Linked DNA regions of Ovis aries. The protein of the gene in region 2 binds, or shares a complex with, the protein of the main gene of each other region. Links are inferred from orthologs where the notes say so. Each region holds a gene or a part of one and is shown on either strand. Other genes may lie near its edges. The genes, in order: CEP290, B9D2 and TMEM107.

Region 1 (3,651 bases), on a different chromosome or scaffold from region 2:
TAAAAAATTATTTTAAATGTATTTATAGTAATATGATTTTCATTTTAGTTGACATCTAAATATATTCAGTTTATACTATTTTCTGTATAATTTAATAAAGAGAGATCTGACCATCTATTAACCAAATTTAAGACCTAGATTAAACTAAGAAACAACTCCTAGTTTACCTTCAAGCCCTTTAACCACCCACGAAAAGAAGTAAACTAAAAATTGATCCAGAGTTTAGAACATATGCTTCAAAATAAAATATAAAAATAAACAAGGATGAAAACAATTCTTGATCATTGAAGGGAGGGAAACACATTGCTCATAAAGCTACAGTCAAATGCTCTTTTGGTTTCCTTTCATGCTAGCAACTGATGAGTGTGCCCAAAAGTGATAAGTAATGACTAAAAGAAGAGTGATTTCAAATTAGCCATACCTACTGTTCTTTATTGGCAAAACAAAGACTAAAGAAAAGTAGAGTAGAATAAGCAACAGATTCATCATTTTATGCTTCATCCTCATTTAAAAATATTACTTATAAAATTCCAGAAGTATACCCAATAATATACTTATCAAAATGCAAGGAGAAGAGGGCAACAGAGGATAAGATGGTTGGATGACATCACCAATGAAATGGACATGAACTTGAGCAAACTCTAGGAGATGGTGAGGGGCCAGGAAGCCTGGCATGCTACAGTCCATGAGGTCACAAAGAGTCAGACAGGGTCAGACTTGCCAACTGAACAACAACAATATGCAAATTCTTCTAATTACCTCTTCCAGTGATCTGCAAGTTGCTTGGGTTTCTAGGATTATTCTGATATTTTCCTTAATTTTTCTTAGAGCAATCTCAAGTTGATTTGGAATGGGCAAACTAGGGTCTGGCATTGATCCTGTAGCCTCTTCAAACTATTGAGAAATAGATTTTTTTTTTAAAGAAGAGCAGTTGCAACATTGGAAATAACAATATTAATTTTTACAACTATATGACAAGACATGGTTAAATTTCACTTATAGTTGACACATAAAAAGATATCATCAATTAAAATTCCAACTCAGCCATAAAAAAGAAGAAAATTGGGTCATTTGTAGTCATGTGGATGACCCCTACAGTCTGTCATACAGTGAAGTAAGCCAGAAAGAGAAAAACACATATCGTATATTAACACATATACATGGAAGCTAGAAAAATGGTACTGATGAACCTATCTGCAGGTCAGGAATAGAGACACAGATGTAGAGGACGAACCTGTGGACACAGCAGGGGAAGGAGAGGGTGGAACGAATTGAAAGAGTATAAATACTACCGCATGTAAAATAGATAGATGCTGGTAAACTACTGTATGGCACAGGGAGCTGACCTCAGTACTCTGTGACAACCTCGAGGGGTAGGATGTGGCGACTGGGAGGGAGGCTTAGGAGGGAGGGGACGTATGTATACAGATAGCTGCCTCACACTGTTGTGTACCAGAGACTAATGCAACACTGTAAAGCAATTATCCTCCAATTAAAAAAAAAACAGAAAAATAAAAATAAAATTCCATCCAACCTTAGAAAACATTTCTACTGGTTAACATTATAGGTCCTGCTATAGAGTAGCAAATAGGATTAATCATTTATACCTTTTGCGCTTCACTTAGTATTTCATTTTGCTGACGGTCAAAAACATCTAGTTGACGTTCCAGCTCAACTTCTCTCTGATCCCAGGCCATCTGTCTTTCTTCATGAAACTAAAGAAGGATAGTTGGGTCATGCACACACAGAGACACTCACCAGGCCTATGAGAAGAACTTTTACATACATTTTTCTTCTTTAATCCTCACAACAACCATTTGAGGTCACTGTTATTATTTTCATTTTAAGGAAAAAGGAAGAAAATTCAGAGATTAAGTAATTTTTGCCTAAGATCACAAGGACAGGCAGGTGTGGAGTCAGGATTTCAACCCATCCATGTACCCATCCATTTATCCATCCATCCATTCATTCATCCAAAGCATGTTTAATGACACAGTCTATGTGGCAAGTACTATTTGAGACAATGAGAACACAGCAATAAACAAAACCAAGTCCCCTTCACCACAGGAGTTATATACTACTGAGGGGGAGATAGTAAACAAATAAGTATGTCATATGTCCGAGGGCGATGAGTGCTATGGAGTAAAATGAAACTAGGTAATCCGTATTTAAGGAATCTTGATGATAAAATTTACTGTTGTGTGTTGGGTAACTAGTGAAGGTCTCATTGATAAGGTAATACATTAGAGGTAAGATCAGAAGGCAGTGAAAGCAGAAGTAATACTGGTATCTTAGGTAAGAACAATTTAAGCAGAAGGAACAACAAAATTTCTAAGGCAAGTAAGCATCTGCTTAGTGAACTGCATCTGTCTCCAAAGCTTCTGTTCTTTATTCTATACCAAGCTGCCTTATTCCTTCAGTGACAGCAGTAGAAACTTGTAAAGGTGAATTCAAATAACCAATAGTGAAACAAAAATTAACTTAACAAATAAACTTGTTTATGAATTCTTCCTTTTAAGACAACTAATGCAACTAAATAAATGAATAATGTATTTTTAGAATAGTTTAAAAAATAAGAAACAATATTTTATAAGAATGATAATAGAAGCTATACTTGATTAGGAAAATAAGGCAGTCATCAATGCAATGTTGTTATATTAAAAATCTTAGCAACAAAACACCAAAATAAATATAAAATGAAACCTTATTCTGTTGCACAATTTCTTCCTCCAGACTACGGATTGTGTTCTCATATTCAGAAATTATATTATTCAAATATTTTATTTCTTCTTTATCTTTGACTAATTCTCGATTGAGTTTAAGCTCTTGAAGACGGAGTTCTTCTATTTTTGTGTGCCAACTGATTACCTAAATATTTATAAATTACATATACAAATGTTAATACTATATTAATAAATAATGAATTTCTCTACTGATTTTAATGATTTCAATTCAAATTAATGGACATTCTAAAATAAGATATAAAATTATTCTTGGTTGTACCAAAAAGAAAAGTTTATTTAGAATTTCTATAGACTTTTTTAATATGTAGACTCCTAACATAAAGCATTTTTCAAAAGATGCTGAAATGGATATCACTAACAATCACATTTATTTATTCATTTACTTTCATGTATTTGTTGGGTCCTTAGTGTTTGTATGTAATTGCAACATTGGTTTTACTTTCATAAATAAAAATCCCAAATGTTTCTAGCCTAGAGAATAAAATTTAATTTCAAAATAATTATTTTTCATTAATTCCTTCCAAATAAGAGTAAAAACAAAATTACATTAAAAAATAAATGTAGGCCTACTACTTGTTTAATCACTATAATGTTTAAGAATAATTAGTTAGTATTTAATTAATATATACTTTCCTAGAGTGTTTAAAATTCTTTGATACTACAATCTAAGCATTTCTACTGAAACTATGGCTTAGAGGAGTCTCATTTTATTTATAAACAGATATTCTAATAGCTCAAACTCCTAATTTATAAAATCTAAATTAATAAATTATATCTGGAATTTTGCTCATATATTAAGCATTTTCCACATAGGCACATATTAACTCAAAATTATTATGTAACTCTTCTGAAAATTAAACTCTTCTGAACTTAAAATCAGTGTTTTACCTTTTGGGCTCCCCTGGCA
Region 2 (3,751 bases):
ACTGGATCCCTAGGATCGCAAACTCAGATCTTGGTACACAGAAGGTGCTCGATACGTGTTTGCTGGACAAAGAAATGATCCTAGGAGGTGGGGGCTAATACAATCCTCATCTTACAGGTAAAGAAACAGACTCTGAGAAGGAATGGCACTTGGTCATTCATTCCACAAACCTTTACCGAATACCTTCTCTGTGCCAAGCACTGTTCTCCATGCTGAGGCTACAGCAGGACCGCAGCAGACCAAGTCCCACAGTGGTGCTAATTCAAATGGAGCTCTGGTTTGTTTCTGGTTTGTTTGTTATTTGTTTTTGACCGCGCCTCGAAGCATGCAGGGATCTTAGTTTCTCGACCAGGGATCGAACCTGCATCCCCTGCAGTGGAAGTGTGGAGTCTTAACCACCAGCGAAGTTCCTCAAATAGAGTTCTGACTGATAGCAGAGACCAAGCCCCTTATCTGACTGCCTCTCGGCTCTCTCTTGCATAACTAACCTCCTCTCCCTGGCGAAGAGCCCCCTGAAATAATAAAAATCATGTTGGTTACTGCTCCCTTCTGGGCCAAGTGAGGAAAGCAACAGACCCTGAGTCAGGATTCTCACATACAAGACTTCCTGACACTGCTATGAAGGACAAATAGTCCCATTTTACGGACCAGGAAACTGAGGCAGGGTCACAGAACAGATGAGTGGTAGGGCGCTGGAAACCGAGTTGATTCCAGGCTTGTCTTATTCACTCAACTGGAGGATCCCAGTTTCCCAGGGAATCTCAGCCACTAGTCTATCCACCAGCGAAATCACAAAGGACTCTGGACCTAAAAAGATGATGATGGCAATGGGCACACTCATTTCATGGACATGTATCTCTGCTAGACAACATATCCCAGGCTTAGAAACAAGAGCCCATCCAGCTGTTACACAAGCCAGGCAACACTTACGAGGACTTACAAATCCAGGTTCTCTTCTAAGGGCTGTTGATATTCATGTAGTCCTCACAACAACCCCATGAGGTATACAGTGTTATTATTCCCATTGTACTGACAGGGAAATCAAGGCAAAGACAAGTGCCCAAGGTCACATAATTAATAAAGAGGAGCTGGTTTTGAATCCAGGTAGTCTCTGCTCTTAACCTCTTAGTACTCTGCTGCCTCTTAGGTGCTATTAGCTTCATTTTCAGACAAGGAAACAGGCTCAAAAAGGTCAAGTCCAAAGGCTCCCAATTAATAGGTAAGAGAGTTTGTATCTGAGCCCAGACTTGGTGACCTGTGGCCCTATCACACTAACCACCAACCCTCTACTGCCTCTGATGGAAAGGCATGAAAACTGGGACCTCCACGGTCCCTCTTGGGCTTATGTGGATGGACTTGGATGACGATCAGAACCAGGTTCCTACGTTTTCACAGAGAAATATGAATACAGGAGGGTGGTCTCTCGTCTTAGTTGCAAGATGGAAACTTCCATTTCACCTTAAGAATTCAATAAATGGAGATGGCAAAGCAAAGAATTAAGATGGGGGAGTCACCCAAGGCCAAAGCACCTCTAAGACAGTGAATGGAAGCCAAATAGTGTTGTTGGGGTTTTAAGTGTTTTGAGGATTGGGAGTGTGTGCTGGGGGTAGGCGGGTGTGTCAAGCCTATAGTCCCCTATCCTTGCTGTGTGTGCTAAATCACTTCAGTCATGTCCGACTCTTTGTGACCCTATAGACTGTAGCCTACCAGGCTCCTCTGTCCATGGGATTCTCCAGGCAAGAATACTGGAGTGGGTTGCCATGCCCTCCTTCACGGGATCTTCCAGACCCAGGGATCAAACCCATGTCTCTTATGTCTCTTGCATTGACAGGCAGGTTCTTTACCACTAGCACCACCATAGGAAGCCCTCAGGGAATGTGTATTGAGAGACTGGAACTCAAGAGTTCCCAGAGGTGGGATGGGAAGGGATAAGAAGGGAGCCTGAGACTCGCATGAACAGAATGTGGTCAGGGATAGGAGTCCTGAGAACTGACGGAAGCTAAGGACCAGGGATTGAGCCAAGGGGTCAAGGAAAGAAGGTGGAGCAGCTAGACTGAGAGGTTTCGGTGGGGAAATGAACCATGTCGGGGAATACCTGTGTGGACGCCCCACTTGCAGAACAGGCTACTTTCCGAGAAACCGGTGGCCCCCATGATCTGTCCGATCACGTGCACCTCAGCCATTGCCCTGAAAGGGGAAAATATAATCACAGCCTTATGAGAAAAGTGTACAATTATCTCCACCTAATAGAAGGGAAGACTGAGGCCCACCAAGTAAGGAGCAATACGTGGGATTCCAAGCTAGTTTCGTCAAACCACTGAGGTTGCGGTTTCAACCATGATACTAACTGCCCCTCCAGGAGAGTCTCAGAAAAATGAGGGGCGAGAAATGGACGCTCCAAGGAGCTGGCGCGTTACTCTGCCTGCCTCTAAAATAACTCCCTAGGCTCAACGCCGCGGAAAGTCCCGCCCCAGGGGCCCAAGTGGCTCCGCCCACAACACAAAAGCTCCTCCTCCCACGTCAGATTTCCGCCCCCCCAAGTCCATGAGGCGCATGCGTTGCTGGGCGCCTTAGCTCCGCCTGTGAGTTCGCGCATGCCTTATTCCTACCTCAGAATACCTAACGGTTAGGAGAGGCGAGAGCGCTGGCGGGGATTGGAGTTCATGGGCCTGACCTGTCCCTCTCTCCGCAGGCGCTGACTTCCCAGGTCTGGCTCACGCCTTTCCTAAGACACTCCTGGCAGCGAGAGAGCTGAGGCGCAGATCTCTCCGAGACCGCGCCCGCCTCCTGCCTCCCAGGTTGTTGCTGGGGCAACGGCAGCCTCCTCCCCTGGCCTTGCACCCGCCCTGCGGGTTGCTAATTGGCCCTAGCGGCACTTGGCGGGGCGGGACTATGCTGTGATTGACATTTTTTCTTCCCCACCCGTTTCCATTTTTGGGTAAGAAGTCTCTCCAGCCACGACCCAAGGTTCAGCCATTTGCGGCGTGGCCCGGTTGTGGCCATGTTGTGCGCGGCGAAGAAGTTTGAACACTGTCTGTCTCAGATATTCGTATAACAGAATAAGCAAATCCATCCATGCCCCATTACCCCTCAAACTGTCTCTCAACAGGGACCGCAAGACAGACTTGAGCCAGAGCTACGGGGGAATCTCACAAGTTTGGATGCATCCCTTTGCCTCCTAACTGGAAATAAACTTCATCTGGTTGGCGGGGTTCCTTTTTAGAGTTCCCCCAAGCTCCTCAAAGACTGATAAATCCAACTTCCTTCTCAGAAATACCGCCCATTTCTTCATTGTTAGTGCTGATTCTGAGCAATGAGTGGGTGGGGTGGGGGAAGGGGTAAGAGAAATGAGGAACTGAGGCCACTTTATCTGCAGAAAATCCTGTTTTTGAAGGCTGGACTCTGTCAGTAACAGGACCCTGCACAGCTCTAAGTCTCAGTTATCTCATCCATGTCATGACCCCAAGTGGAGTGACTGAGTCAGGCACTCACGTTCTGATTTCCTGAGCAGTACCTTCTCCACCCTCCAAGTTCAGTTGAACCTTAGTTCCTGCCTTATTCCTCCAGCCCAGACCAGGAGTCCAAAGGGAACTTATTCCCCTACTTATTGTAAAACGGGAACAGCAAAAGTTAAGAGTCACCAGCTCAAAGTGATAGGGAGGGGGGCAACATTTCAATAGGATAGTGTCGTGGATTGTGTGCAGGTTAGAAAGGTATTTCCAGACATGAGGCAGAATGAGAGGAGGATAGA
Region 3 (3,751 bases), on a different chromosome or scaffold from region 2:
GGAATCACCTTTAAGGTCCGAAGGTCCGTGAGGTCCCAATCGTGAGAAATGCTTGGACTATAGCTGGGCAAAGAGACTCTGCTGGTCACACCTCCAAGAGATAAGGAAATCGTAGACTCTGAATTTCCGCCTTCGACTCTTGCCTCCCAGGGACGCGGGGTTTCATTCTCTTCCTCCACTCCCTTTTCTGGTCCCGTACGTCCACTTCCTTCCCGCAACACGCCTCTCATCCACACCCTAGTTCAGGAGAGGGGCTCTTTTCTGTACTCTGCAAATCCCTCACCAATCTGAGCGAGCTGGGTGGGTGGTTGGGTGGGGAATCAGAATCAAGGAAAGTTCAGGTATACGGTCCGCCAACAACCAGGGGCTCCAGGACAATAAAGGGGCATCCACCTCTCCAAGTTCGGCCTAGGTCAAGGAGAAGCTACACGGATGCGGGGGATGGAAGAAAAGACAGTGTCCAGGGCTCGGGCATGTTGACGCCCTAAGGCTGGAGTGGTGGTGACTGTGGTGTCTGGAGGATCATCTTGGGCAAAGTAGCAGGGGCTGGGGGCCAGGCCGCTCCCGGCATGGGGATACAGGGAGGAGCGAGTGTCCGAATTTCCGTTCGCCAGTGCTGTGTGGGCAGACTCGGCAATGGGGGGCCGCGCCACAACACACTCTCAGGCTGTGCAGACAACTCATCTGCACGCGGGAAGGCCGGCAGCTCGATTCTCCGCATCCGGTCGGGATCTGCACAGGTATTGTGGACCCGGAACAAAGTTTCCCAGAGGCCCGGAGGCGGCGCGATAATTTGCCGCTCTCGCGAGACTTTCAGAGGTCCCGTCGGAGCCATCGTTTTTGCGGTTACTAAGGCAACTGAGCGGTGCCAGCGTAAGCGGGAAAGCGGCGTACGTCGAATTTTTGTCTGCTAGCTTGGGAGACTTGAGGAGTGACCCTCCTTGAGCTTCCAGCCCCAGAGACAAACGGCCTCTGCTCCAGGCGGTACCTCTTCCCCTGGGAACCATGGGCCGGATCTCAGGGCTCGTGCCCTCTCGCTTTCTGACGCTCCTGGCGCATCTGGTGGTCGTCATCACCTTATTCTGGTCCAGGGTAAGACCCAGGGCCCTCTTCTCGTTCCTCCTTCCAATTTGGGGTGGTCCCAGCCCCACTCCACCCTTTCTCTCCCGGGGCCTTACACGGTGGGGTCTTCCCATATCCAGCCGCCAGACCCTCTTTCAACTTCTGTTTCTTTCTGCCCTGCTCCCTAGGACAGCAACATCCAGGCCTGCCTGCCTCTCAGATTCACCCCTGAAGAGTATGAGAAGCAGGACATTCAGTGAGCATGTGGGACAGGGTGGGCAGAATTAGGCAGTAGAGGGAGTGAAGGGGTCTTAGAAAAAGTTCAGAAGGCCTAAGCCACTTCCTTCTTTTCTGCAGGCTGGTGGCAGCGCTCTCTGTCACCCTAGCTCTCTTTGCAGTGGAGCTGGCTGGTTTCTTCTTAGGAGTTTCCATGTTCAACAGCACCCAGAGCCTCATCTGTATCCTTTCTACGTGTACTCCTTTCCTCCTCGCCCTTGTCCACCATAACGCCCTTCAGCCACTTAACTAGGCCTTTCTGGCACAATGGCGTTTGCTCTAGCAGGCAAACAGAATCCCTCCTGTGGAGAGATGTTAGGCAATGTGGAAGATTTAATACAATCTCTGATCACTTTTTGAGCTCCTGCTACTCACCAGGCACTGGAGATCTCAAGATGAGAGTACAACAGTTTTCTATCTTGAGGAAGAGGCAGATACACAGACATCTGCAATTCAGTGTGATAAGCACGGGTGCCATCAGATGTTAAGATACAAAGCACTATGGGAATGCCGAAGAGACAAAGGAAGTGAGGAAGATGGATCAGGGAAGGCTCTCAACACCAGGGTACTGGAGAGTGATCCCAGCAGTGTATTGTGTCACTGTGAGCATGTCTGTGTGCTTGGAGTAGATCAGGAGTCTACTACTTCACCTGAAGGATCCAAACTAGATATGGGATGGAGGTAGCTTGGTTTCCCAACAGGGCAGGCTCAGCTCTGGCCTCTACACATGGCCATCCTAAAACCCAAAAATCTGGGCTGCTGGCTCTGGCCTTTGCAGTGTGGTAAAGGGAGCAAGAGATGCCTTGCTCACCAGGAGCTGATTGTGAATGCAGATGCCAGGCCCATCACCGGCCTTTTCTGGCTCATCACTACCTGTTGACCCAAAGGCTTTCCTTGACTCTGGTGTATTCCCAAGCCATCGGGGCTCACTGTAGTGCATCTGTGGCCCTATCCTTCTTCATATTTGAGCGTTGGGAGTGCACCATGTATTGGTACATTTTTGTCTTTTGCAGGTATGGTAGCACCTAATGTTTGAGGATGGGGAAGGGAGGTTTACTTTAAATCTGAAGATTCCCCTACCCAGCCCTTTGTTCCATGTGTAACATACCAGATCCACTCAACATTCCCGAGTCTTTTTGAAGTCCTCCACTCCTACACTTCAGGGGGTCGGGGGGTGGGATCGCTGGCTTGGGGATCTGGGTATTTTTATTAGAAGAAACTCTGAACCCATCACCTGCCTTCCTCAGTGCCCTCCCGGCTGTCACCGAAATAACATTATTCATCAGCGTCTTTGGCCTGAAAAAGAAACCTTTCTGATATCTTCGTGACTGGAAGTAGGGATGAAGGCTGAAGGAGCGAAGGACTACTCACCCTTCCTGGAAGAGGGAGGCTTCAGCCCTCCTTCTAACACTGCGTTTGGTGAACGATGTCAGTGTTAGGGTAATTATCTCTCAAGTCTGGGATTATCTGTGTTTTGTTTACAGTCCTTTGTAATAAAATATATTTTAGGGTAAGATCAAACTTACAGGAATTCCTGCAGGAATTCCCTGGCTGTCCAGTGGTTAGGACCCCACGCCTCCACTGCAGCGGGTTCAGTCCCTGGTGGAGCAACCAAGATCCTGAATGCTAGGCAGCGTGGCCAAAAAAAAGAAAAAGAAAAAAATCAAGACAAAAATTTCAGGAGAAAATTGGGGTGGCCAAACTACTATAGAAACGGAAGGCTGTTTTCCAGCCTTGCACTGTAAGACCCTAAATGTCGCTTCTATTCTAGTTATTACGGTAGATTTCTGACGGAAGGGAGTGGGCGGAGATATGTAAATAAGGTTATACTTTAGTACCTCGAGCTCTTAAAGTGAGTGAAGCATTCTGGGAGGGATTAGCGTTTGCTTTTTGACAGCCAAATGGAAAAATTTATTTTAAAACATCTGCAAATAAATTGAACAACAGAAGTGGAAGAACCTGGATAGCTTTAGATGGCTCGAACTAACATGTCGTTTACTCACCCTACCTGTTAGCGGAGTCTTATTACCGGAGTACGGAATATTGCAGTCCTCTCGGTATCGTCAGGTAGGATAATCCTTACCTGTTCCTCCTTTTGGAGGGCAGAATAGAACATGATGATTGGAGCTCGCATGATTCGTGATTAACGGCTCTGCGTAATCAGGACTTGCAACACCCTGATTGCTCCTATCTGATTCTTCCTGGCGATCCGTGATGTTAATGTACTTTACGATTAGATTGAGTTTTTAGTACTGTCTCCTTAGTTGTACTTGAAGTAGCGTCGGGCACGACTGAGCGACTTCGCTTTCATTTTTCACCATGCGTTGGAGAAGACAATAGCAACCCACACCAGTGCTCTTGTCTGGAGAATTCTAGGGACCGGGGTGCCTGTTGGGTTGCCGTGTATGGGGCC

Evidence for each region.
Region 1: B9D2 (region 2) and CEP290 share a complex: the UniProt entries of both Homo sapiens proteins name them as parts of the tectonic-like complex. The link is inferred for Ovis aries from reciprocal best matches to the Homo sapiens genes B9D2 and CEP290.
Region 3: B9D2 (region 2) and TMEM107 share a complex: the UniProt entries of both Homo sapiens proteins name them as parts of the tectonic-like complex. The link is inferred for Ovis aries from reciprocal best matches to the Homo sapiens genes B9D2 and TMEM107.

Annotation. Positions count from the first base shown.
Region 1 is NC_056056.1:124,381,181-124,384,831, forward strand, and holds part of CEP290 (centrosomal protein of 290 kDa), read right to left. Parts: coding exon 3,633-3,651; intron 2,869-3,632; coding exon 2,704-2,868; intron 1,716-2,703; coding exon 1,608-1,715; intron 895-1,607; coding exon 760-894; intron 1-759. UniProt on the Homo sapiens protein: Involved in early and late steps in cilia formation. Its association with CCP110 is required for inhibition of primary cilia formation by CCP110.
Region 2 is NC_056067.1:50,068,582-50,072,332, forward strand, and holds the start of B9D2 (B9 domain-containing protein 2), read right to left. Parts: upstream 2,808-3,751; 5' UTR 2,610-2,807; exon of another isoform or gene 2,602-2,609; intron 2,188-2,601; 5' UTR 2,184-2,187; coding exon 2,096-2,183; intron 1-2,095. UniProt on the Homo sapiens protein: Component of the tectonic-like complex, a complex localized at the transition zone of primary cilia and acting as a barrier that prevents diffusion of transmembrane proteins between the cilia and plasma membranes.
Region 3 is NC_056064.1:27,637,197-27,640,947, reverse strand, and holds the start of TMEM107 (transmembrane protein 107), read left to right. Parts: upstream 1-848; 5' UTR 849-1,005; coding exon 1,006-1,092; intron 1,093-1,250; coding exon 1,251-1,318; intron 1,319-1,419; coding exon 1,420-1,520; intron 1,521-2,254; coding exon 2,255-2,351; intron 2,352-2,585; coding exon 2,586-2,655; 3' UTR 2,656-3,751. UniProt on the Homo sapiens protein: Plays a role in cilia formation and embryonic patterning. Requires for normal Sonic hedgehog (Shh) signaling in the neural tube and acts in combination with GLI2 and GLI3 to pattern ventral and intermediate neuronal cell types.